Caenorhabditis elegans: one gene and its partner. The protein of the gene in region 2 interacts with the protein of the main gene of each other region in a pairwise test. Each region holds a gene or a part of one and is shown on either strand. Other genes may lie near its edges. The genes, in order: hlh-30 and npp-26.

What was found.
Region 1: the proteins of npp-26 (region 2) and hlh-30 interact in a two-hybrid assay, tested with the Caenorhabditis elegans proteins (one large-scale study listed by BioGRID).

The regions. Positions count from the first base shown.
Region 1 is NC_003282.8:4,024,919-4,030,199, forward strand, and holds the start of hlh-30 (Helix-loop-helix protein 30), read right to left. Parts: upstream 3,210-5,281; 5' UTR 3,169-3,209; coding exon 2,989-3,168; intron 2,894-2,988; exon of another isoform or gene 2,810-2,893; intron 2,146-2,809; coding exon 1,960-2,145; intron 1-1,959.
Region 2 is NC_003282.8:4,762,886-4,768,600, reverse strand, and holds npp-26 (Nucleoporin GLE1), read right to left. Parts: upstream 3,880-5,715; 5' UTR 3,854-3,879; coding exon 3,621-3,853; intron 3,416-3,620; coding exon 2,935-3,415; intron 2,315-2,934; coding exon 2,135-2,314; intron 2,030-2,134; coding exon 1,774-2,029; intron 1,140-1,773; coding exon 1,009-1,139; intron 958-1,008; coding exon 796-957; 3' UTR 645-795; downstream 1-644. Other genes in the region: Y17G9B.2 (uncharacterized protein), read right to left, coding at 4,114-4,135, 4,309-4,400.

The DNA of each region.
Region 1 (5,281 bases), 740 kb from region 2:
TATGGAGGAAGAAGAGACGCGGGAGAAAAAGGGAGAAAGGTTTTTGAACCAGGATAACAACAACAACAACAATAGAAGTTTTTAGGAAAGGGATAGGTGAGCAGGAGTAGTACAGTTGAACTTTTGGCTAATGAGCATTATGCTTACCAAGGGATCAGTCTCAGCAAGTAATGAAGCTCTGAATTGAACTAAATTGGGTCTCAATGCGAAAACGAATCCGGATTCAAACGTACAACACTAATAATTAGGACTTCACAATTTTAGAAAAATAGTTCAAATAAAGAGTGATAACGAAATTTGTACAAGTTTCGAATTCCTGGGAAACAAACTCTAATGGTCGAAAAAATTTCTAGAAAAAAGTTAAGTTCTCAACGTTCTTAAATACATTAGAATTCTATGAAAATCAGATTTTCCCTGAATTCTACAGGTTTCAAAATTAGGGGGAAAATGTACTGATTGTGAAAAAAAAAAGATCCCAGGTTCCGAGAAATTTCAATTTTTTTTTGTAAGATGTTTTTTTTTCCAAAAAGCTTCCAGAATATTTGCCTAGTTTTCCTCATGCTTTAAAACATTGAAAATCTCTCAAAATTTGGTTTTGGAGAAATTCTACGGGACTTGAAACTAGCGAAAATGCACTGACAAAATGGGGAGAAAAAGTCCTAAAAATTTCCAAAAAGCTTTGAGAATGCGTTATAAATCTGGGAAAATCCGATTATGAAAAATTCGACGGATTTCGAAATAATCGAAAAAAAAACTCTGCTTTTTTCAGAAAAAGTTTCAAAAAGCTTGGCCTAAACATTGAAAAATTAATAATCTCAGAAAATTTGGTTTTGGATAAATTCTACGAGCATCGAAGTTTGGCAAAAAAGTTTCAAACGAAATACCGGGAACTTGGAGTTAGCTTCGTGGGTTTTTGTAATGAGCTAGTCAAATGGTACAGACTCGTATCATAAAGTCAAATTTTATTTGATGCGCTGTTGATAGCTAGGGTCCTATTCGACCTTTTAGTCCACATACAGCCCCCTCCCTACCCAACCAATCAACTTGAAAGTTCAACTCAAACATCTCATTGTCTTCTCAGTCCTATCCACCACCACTACCACACGTCAGAGACCATCGGAGAGTGTAAAAACAACCGGACGCCGAGAGAAGCTAGCCGAACACCACGTGACACTGTCCAAGAGGCAGACAGAGACCCGGGGGGGGGGGGGGCTACGTGCCAAACGCAAGATTTTTTCAGCGCCCGTTTTTCGTTTTTCAGCTGTTCCGTCTAGGGTGGAGTCATCTGGGAGTGGGAGAGACCGCAGAATGTGGAAGGAAAAATATGGAATGGGCGCCGTGGCGCAAAAGTGCTTGAAAACAAATACATGGCTCAGGGGGGGGGGTCATATTGTTAAAGCCAATCAAGAACAATTTTTTTGTAAAAATTCAAACTTCTATAATTTGACCCTACGACGTTAGGCTAACAACAGATGCCAAAAAAGGGAGATCTACAAGAAAAATGAAAAGATATCAGTTTCAGGGGAGCAAGTTGGAAGAAATTTTTACGTAAAGTTTGAAGATCTATAATGTCGAGCAATTTAATTGTGTGCCTACGCCTTTAAGCGAAGAAGAGCAGGGTTTAAGCTTATTTTGAGCCAAGAAACCCCAACTCTTGAAAAAGGTACTTTTACACAGATTAAAAAAAAAGAACCACAAAACAATTTAGTTACCGGGGAGCCCTTTCAGGCCCACTTTTTTTCATAAGAAAAAAATTCCAAAAATTCTGCTTTTTTTCTTACTATTAATTGAGCTGGGTAAAAAAAACTTGTAAACTACCTTTAAACTTTCCATAAAATCGTTAAAAATTATGTTAGAATGCAGTATTTTGTTTCGTTTTTTGTTTTATTTCTGTAGAGACTTTGAGCTCAAACAATGTAAGAAAACAAAAATTTTCTTTTAATAAAATTTGAAACTAACCGGTTGAATATTGCCGAACAACATCTGATGCGTCTGCTGCATCTTCCTTGGACTACTTAATGCCGCTCCACTGCTCCCTCCGCCAAAGTAGCTCTGTGTAGGCGCTGAGCCGAACGGTGTCGACGTCGAGCCCATCGATCGTTGTGCGATTGGAATCAGATTTCCCGTCTCTCGACGTTGTTCCATCTCAAAATACAAAATAAGAAAAGAGATAGAAATCATTATGGAAAGATAACTACTAAATTTCGGTCGTTGATGCACCATGAGCGCTCTGCTTTGTTTACTACTACTATATTGGCGGCGGCGGCGGGCGGGAAGTTGGCAGTGTGCCAAAAACATTGTGTCTATATCTCTCTAATTTGGGAGATAGGGAAATCAAAGCCGATCAGAAAACTGAGCAGCCCTGTTACTTGATAAATTAGCTGCCCCTGTCGCCACCGCCTCGCCGGCCCCAAAGTGATGACAATTGGCGTCGAGAGATGAGAAAACTGAGTTTGAAATTCGATTTGTGATTTGAAATTGAAATCGGATCAAGCTTAGAAAATGGGCGAAGAGAGCAAAGTACAATTTTAAGCGAGGTTTGTAAATTTTTAATGCGAGTTTTGGCTCGCAATGAAAATGGTAATGCGATTGGTAAATTGATAAAGTAGGTCAAAACTGATATCAGCTCAAAGAACGTTGATAGGACTGAAACTAGAAGCCTGTGTCAAGCCCAAACGGACCGCCGAAACCACAAACTACAAAACAATCAAGTCTCATTCGCTCTCTTGTTTCTTTTCTCTTTTTGTGTATTGTCACCACACATGACCGGTCAATCAATCGTCAGATGGGGGTCTTATCTTGAGCGAATTTCAAGACAAAGTTCTGGTGAGTTAGGCTACTCAAGTGTCCCGGAAGGAAGTTGGGTGCCCGGAGCAGGAAACTAAAAGCGGGGGGAAAGAGAGCTGATAAGAAACGGGGCTATTTGAAGGGTGTAAAGACCAAATGTCGTTGGCCTAAACCTGAACCTAGAAAATTATTAGCCCTTACACTTTTGCCGGCGCCAAATCGAAACTGCGACGCGTTAGCCTGATATGGCTCGTCATCGTAGAACTGTTGCTGGGCTTGTTGTGGTTGCTGCTGCTGTTGAGCACCCGGTGGCTGCTGGGCTCTCGGATTGTTCAATCCGAGGCCGCCGCCACCGCCTGGTGAATTTAGTTGGCGGATCATGAATGCTCTTATTCGCTGATTTTTTTTTTCAGTATCGGGATCTGAGAATTAAAAAAAAATCAATCGATAAAAAGGTATATTGGTTGGTAGAAAAAAAGGAAAAAAATTCGAAAGGGGGAGAGGGAAAAGAGCGAAAGACAAGAGAAGAAACCGAGTGGAAGGGTCGGGAGAGAGGCGCCCAAAGGGGTCGCGGGAGACCGAGGTGATACGAGAGGACGAGGCGAGAGAGCGGCAGACACAATGTGACATATCAAGAGGTCGTCGCCAGCAACAGCAGCCCCTCCCCAAAGGATCGAGCGAGAGGCGCGAGAGATGGGGCACACGGGCGCACACGCGCCCGCCCCTATCTCTTTCTCTCACAGCCTCCACCACCGATCATTTCGTTTATTACTGTGTCCCCCACCTCCTGCCAAGTTCTTGTCGAGACAATGGCGATTAGGCTACTTAAGGGCAGTTGGGGGTGGCTAGCTGTCTGCGTAGCTGGAATCCTAGAATACTAAACTCCTAAACAAAATCATTGGCCCCATCCTAATTACAAGATAGTAACGGTCCATATAGTTAAGACATCAGAGATTAGGTCGAGAAAAATAAGAAGAACACAACAAACTGTATTCGGAGGAGGTGGCCAGAGATCTTTTTTTTTGAACAGTTTGATGGGCTTGATTTGATTAGAAGAAGATTAAAAGATGAGGGAGATCAAAATTCGGTTTTGAAAAATCTGAGAAATTCAAAAGATAAAGCTAGCTTAACAATTTAAGGCCTTTGTTCGGACAAGGATTTTTTTCTAGGTTCGGGCAATGGAGCAGTATGCAATCTAAGGTGATCTAAATAAAATCAAAAAGTGTTATTAGATGTCCTGAACAAAATATTCCAAAAATTCCTACCTTGAGGGCGAACAATTAGGAAGCTAAGCCTAAGAACCTAAGCCTTCTGGAGCTGCACCTAGGGACTTCTGACATTTGAAGCTTACTTAGGTCGTTCGAAACAGGGTTTTCAGGAAAATTAGAATTTTTTAAGCTTCCGAGGTTCAGAAACAAAAAAATGGCGAAAACGGATGGATCAAAAAAGACAACTTGAAGAAAATGTTATCGTTCTATGATCCGAGTAGAATTTTTACCCAGCGGCTTTGCTGGAAGTTTTAGGGGGTCTGGAAGTGGCACTCTATCAATTTCAAAAAGTGAGACCTCACAAAGTCTCTAAGTCAACAAAAACCTGGAAAAGTCGATTTTTTTTCAACCCAAACACAGGTTATCATCACAAAAACATGACAAAGAAATGATCCAAAGCAACAATGACGCCATCAAAAGTTTGTTTTAAATTCCAACCAACGCAAAGAAAATACGAAAATAAAACAAAACTATTCGACAAAACCCTCTCTTTTTAGGCGACGAAGGAGAATTCGGCCTCCCGCCGCCAACTGATAAGCGCGGCGCCTATTCTCTTTCATAATTAGTGTGTGATGATTATGATAGTGATATGTGTATGTACAATGAAGTTTTGGGAATTTGCAAGACGCAGAGAATTGTTACTCGGCAAACAGTAGGGGGGGGGGGGCTAACTGAGAAATAAAGGAGGAGTTGGGGCGCCGGATTGGTGGTATTGTGATATTTCCAGAGGTCGGGGCAAATATTGATGATTAAATTGAAAAAGGGTTTAAATTGACAACACTTTTTGCTCAATTTCTCGTAAGTTTGAATTTCAGATTTAGAGTCCGAAACTTAAGACCCTAGGCTTAGATCTATAGGCTTGGCTCCCTGGTCCCAAGGCTTGTAAGCTAAGGCCATGAAGTTTGCCTCTAGGCTTAGTTCTTAACATTTAGGTACCTCCCTAGTGGTGTTCCCAGAACGTCCCTAGTGGTGTTCCCGGTAAAGGGGTTTATTAGCTCCAAAAGTTAAAGTCCCAATGCTTAGGTTCAAAGGCTTACTATTAGCTTTAAAATTTTAGGCCCCCAGGGTCATATGTTTAGGTCCCGATCAGAAAGTTTAGACACCTAAGCTTAGACTCATAGGCTTACAAATTCATGTTCCAAAATCTAGCTCCCTGGGCCCCGTTTCCTAGGCCGTGGCCCTAATAGTAAGGTTTATAGGTTAAGCCCCAAAATTCTCTATATGTG
Region 2 (5,715 bases):
ATCTTTCACCAATGTCGCTAGTCCTCCGCCAGATTTGTTTCTCGAATTCAGCGCCGCTTTGTACCCGAAAGGGGTATAACCTGGTGACTCTTTCGCGATCTTTGTTTCTTGGAGAAGGAGGACGTCAGGTGATTCAGTTCTGATGATATGATTGATATCATCAGTTCTCGCCTGCCAGCCATTCACATTCCAGCAGATCATCGTGAAGCCTTGTTGTTGAAATGGTCTTTTTGACGGTGGGTTTGATGCCACTTTGGATTGACATTCCAGACAAGAGTAACCTCTCTGTTGATATTGGGCTACTGTCATTTTGAGGCATGACTTGTGAGACCAGTTTTTGCAATTTGAGCATTTTAGACTATTGTATTGATCACTTTTCTTGCATATTGGGCAGGGCCATCTCGTTTTGGGCGGACCAGGGTTCGTCTCGACGTCTCCGAAGGTGAGAATCCTGATTGTCGTTAGAAAAGTTTGAAGTTTGAGGGAGTTAGGTTTGGATAGAGCATTCCCTCTTGACTCTATCCTAGCAGAAAAAACTGCTTTGCTTGACAAAGTGGGCCTTGGAGGCCATTGTCGTTGGTTGTGTTTGGAGGTAGTTGGTCTTCTGTCGATGTTGATGGCAGAAGGATGAAAAATCATCCATATCCTTTTGGGTACTATATTTCGATGTTGATGGCAGAAGGATGAAAAATCAGTGAATGGAAAATCATAGTACACGCGTATTCCACAATTGGAAAAAAGTCTCAAAATGTACAGGAAAAATATTGGAATTAGATAAATATTAACATTTTCTCATTATGGATGGAGAAGCTCATCAATTGTTTGTTTTAACTGCATCAGCATCGCTTCATCACCATCAAATGAATCTAAATCCAGTTCTGGGATTATTTTGAATTTAATATTCAAAAGCAGCTGTATCCATCGTTCCTTGTCGACTTGGAGACGAGGTTTGCAGGTCTGGAAATTAAATTTTAAGACATTTTTTATATTTTAATGTTTAGTTAATACCGTTATCAGTTGCCAAAGAATGAACGATCCCCTTGGAATTTCTAGAATATGAGCCGTCGAAGCATCCACGTATTTCCATAGAATTTCGTCGGTTAGCTTCAATTTGAATCCTTTCGAGAAGCAGTAGGCGTCTGAAATGTGCTTTCATTGTTTCAAAACCATAATAACTTGGATACTAATAGGACGCAGAAAATGCGTATTTTGAAATCCAGGTGCAAACGCGCTCCACGGTGAACCGCTCCGCCCTTAAACGTTGGGTCTCGTTAGGTATTTAGCGGCAAGATGGTATATTCAACCGTTTTCAGGCTTATTTCATTTTTTATTATTATTTTTTATCATTCAAAAGTGATATGGAGGAAAATTCATAATCTAATTAAACGACCAAAATTTTAAAAAAAGGTACATATTTTTACCATATTTCTGATAAAACTTCCTTAGCTTTTTCCTTACAGTTTTTTGATTTTCAATTTTTTTTTTGAAACTCAAAAAAATCGAAAGTTCTGGAAATTTTTGTTTTCGATTTTCCGACTTTCCAAATAATCAAAAAAAAATTAAGAACACCCTTGATTTCAACCTAAACAACGGCAAAATGTTTTTTAGGAAAAAAATCTTTGAAACGTTCAAATTTACGATGATACAGTCAAATACCTAACGAGACCCATCGTTTAGAGGCGGAGTGCTTTAATTTCTCCGTGGAGCGCATTTACGTCCTCCATTTCAAGTGACGCATTTTTCTGCGATCACATAATAGAAGAATTACGATACTTTTAGTGAAAACCGAGCAGAACAAGATAATATGCGCTTTCTGTCGACTCCACTTCTTAATAGCATCCGGAGAGCTCGGATTCATCGATGTCGCCAGAAATTTGACCATACATTCCTCCGGATGTTGCCGTAAAAGGGCTGATCTGCTCAGTAATATAATACAGAAAACTTGTTCAATATATCCATAAAATACTGATAATCGTGTAATATGACTTGATATCAATGGTATTAGGCTTTCGTCGCGTTCGGCCAGTATCTGTAAAAATTTTTTGAATTCCTTAGAAAAAAACTGCTGCCGCATTTTGGCCCAAACATCGCAACATTTGGGCAACATCTGCAAGGAATTTTCGGTCAAACTCACGACATAGTTATGCACAATGCATAAACTGGCATATTCAATATCTTTATTAGTTTTCAGTTGAAGTACAGGGGCATATCCTCCGAGTACTTGAACTTCTTGCTTTTGTAATAAAGTTTTGAAGTAGTTGAGTATTTGAGCACAAGCTTCCGATGATGTTCGATGTTTAATGGATTGTTTTACCTGAAAAGAGTGCATACTTTATTTTCGTTATTTTCTAAAAATGGTTTTGAAAAAGCATGAATAAAATAAAGTTTTTATTTTGGGTCTCACCGCGAGTTAATGGTAACGACCTGGGGGCTTCTTTGTTATTATTTAGATATTTTTTAACGAAAAATTTGGTTTTTTTTGTTTTTTTTTTAAGAAAAAAACTTTAAAAAATAAATTCAAGCATCACTTTTTTTTGGTTGTTTGCAAATTTCAAATTTTCGTTTTTTGGCTCGAAATAATTTTTGGAGCAAAAACTAGATATTGTTATTACACAGTTGCAAAATTTTGAAATATAGTTTTTGTTTTAAATTGTATTTTCTGATGGTTTTCCAACAAAATCATGGTTTTTTCTTAACATATTGAAAAGTTGAGCGAAAATTCCAAAATAATTTGTCGGTACGGTAGCTGAAACATTTTTTGTCGTTTCAAGACCAGATACAGTATTTTAAAAGTCAAAAAATCACAAAAATTGGTAGTTTTGTAAAATCAAAATTTTTCGCGACGAGACCCATCCGCCAACTATTGTCAAATTTGGTTACAGCAACTCAATTGCTGGGGAATCGCAGAAAAAATGTGAAAACTAGTTTAATAACCTTGTATTTTATATTTTCCTTCAAAAATTCTCGAAACCGTGGATCTGTCGCAGATTTATAGCGATTTTTATCGTCCAAAAGCCCTTTCTCAAGACTAATATATCGTGCAAAGAGAAGATATGGGCGAATTGGTTCTCCGTAGGTTGAAGTACTCGGTACATTTTCCGGATCGTTTTGCATAATTTTGGCTTCTCTTCCAGCAAAAATAGTTCCTCGCACAATTTCAGCATGATTTTCAGGCAAATTTTCCACGAAAATCGATAATCTTCGTGAACTTCCAGGAGATGCACGCGGAGGACACAACAGCTTTGGTGCAGGCGTTTCAGGTAATTTTTGGCCAAAAATTATATTTTCATCAGCGGAAGGAGGTTTAGAAGTACGAGGCGTTGATCGAGTCGTGCCAGCTTTTGCAGATGATGGAGATCCTTGAGCAAGGATTTTCGAGAATATTGAGGAATTCGGATTCGGGCGCGCGAGAGTTCTGAAATTTATAGTTCAAAATTCATTTTACACGTATTTTTGAAATCGAGGTGAAAGCGCGCTCCAATGCCAAAAGTTGGGTCTCGTTAGGTATTGGCTGCAAAACCAGAAATGAAACCGGAAAAAATGGATTTTTTTTGACTAAAGCCACCGAACACCTTGATTTCAAAAATTGCACTTTTATGCGTTTTCATAATAAAATTCACCTTCCAGATGTACAAAGAGCAGCGTACTCTTTTTCCCATTCTTCTCGCAAATTATTGGTCTCCTGCTCAGTCGGTTTTCTCGAAAATGGAATTTTCATTTTCTCTGGTTCCACATGAGCTTCACTCATCGATTTCACCAATTCCTCAAACTTCCGATCGTATTTTTTACTGTGCTGTTGCCTCCGAATTTCCATTTCTCGAACGACATCATCGTCAACTTTCACTAGATCCATATCCTTTTGGGTACTATATTTCATCTGTAATTATTATGCCAATTTCAAAATTAAAACGTGGATTCTAGGAAAGTAGATTTGGACTCGACCAGTAACGGGAATTTCAAGGTTGAAGTTTCAAACTTTTTACAGAAAACTCAAATTTATCAAGCAATAAAAATATAAAATCGTTCGAAATTTCAAATTAATTTCAAATCATGGAGATATGATTGGACGGCGTCTGGTGAGCTTCATGTGGATTGGAGAGACCGGGCAAACGATTATTTCCATTTTTGGACGAACCTGAACAAGTTTTATTAAGAATTTAATTTATAAACTTTCAAATATCATTTCATGCACCAACTCAACATCTTTTACACTGAAATTTCTCAACAAATGAGTCATCTAGTGAATGTCTAGCGAATAGTTCCACTTGCAGGTCTGTAAATAATTATATTTGGTCACATTTTACTTACAGATCTCCGATAGTCATTCTTTGAAGAACATAACTAATCGATTTTTGAGGTGATTTGAGCAGTTGGAATGGAATAGACACACCGTTGTCCATGGTCACAAATGGAGAATGAGCAGATGGGAAGATTGGGTGGTCCGATCCAATTGACCCCCCTTCCCCAATTCTCTAATTCTCATCTTAGAGATATTATACATATTTTTCTTTGTCTAAAGCGTGCAGAGACACGCACATGTTCCAAAGGATAATGGAGCGAGAAGGCACTGGTTAGAGATCTTTTCTCTTAAAATAGAAAATTCTTCGAATTGTTCGATTCAACCTTTTTCGTTCTCATTGGTGTTTGATGGCAATATGCTCAAGCGCTGGAGTGTTGTTTGCAAAACATCAACAAGAAAATATCAACGGTTCAAATTTTGAATTTCGAAAAATTCACTTTTCCTGTATGACTTTGGTATTACGGGAACATTAATTTCTGAGAATGCGTACTACGCAATATATTTGACGCGCAAAATATCTCGGAGCGAAAAATACAGTAATTCTATAGATGACTACTGTAGCTCTTTTGTCGATTTACGGGCCTGAATTTCTGAATGAATTAAAACCATTTATGGAATATTAAAATTAAGCAAAACGTGAGAAAATAATACAAAATAACGAAGGAAAATGAGAAATTTGTTATCACTATTCAAAAAGAAACTCATTTCGAAAGTGGGCCCGTAAATCGACACAAGAGCTACAGTGGTCATTAAAAGAATTACTGTAGTTTTCGCTACAAGATATTTTGCGCGCCAAATATGTCGCCCAGTACGCATTCTTAGAATTGTTTGTTCCCATATTACCCACGGCCCGAGAAGTGGTACCTGTACGCAATTTGTCTACCGTATACCTGGACGTTTGGGCGCGTGTATCTCAAAAACGGTTGGTCCAGTTTTTTTGTGATGCATATAAAAAATGTCCGAAACTAAATTCTAAATTTTTTGGACCAAAGCTTTTTTCGTTATCACGCGCCCAAACCTGGTCTACACTCAAATTATCAGTAGAGCGCATTTGCATGGATGTACCACTTGCCGGGCCGTGTTACCCATTTAAATAAATCCACGTGCCTTTAAAGCGGCATGTCAAAATCTAGTGAAACTGTGTACGTTGCGGGACCATAGAGAAAATTTTTTGCTGCGCCTTTAAAAATACCGTATCAAAATTTGTCACATTTGTCAATATGAGCTGTTCCATGAGAATCAATATTACTAGCTATAACTTCATTCAAAAATCAATAAATTCAGACTTTTTGCAATGAGAAAAATTTAGTTTTGATATATTTGCAGTACGTATTCACAGAATTTAGTGTAGAGCCTATAGAGCTTAAAAAATCAAATCGTTTTTGTTCCAGGAATAGTTCACTCCCCGAAATAAG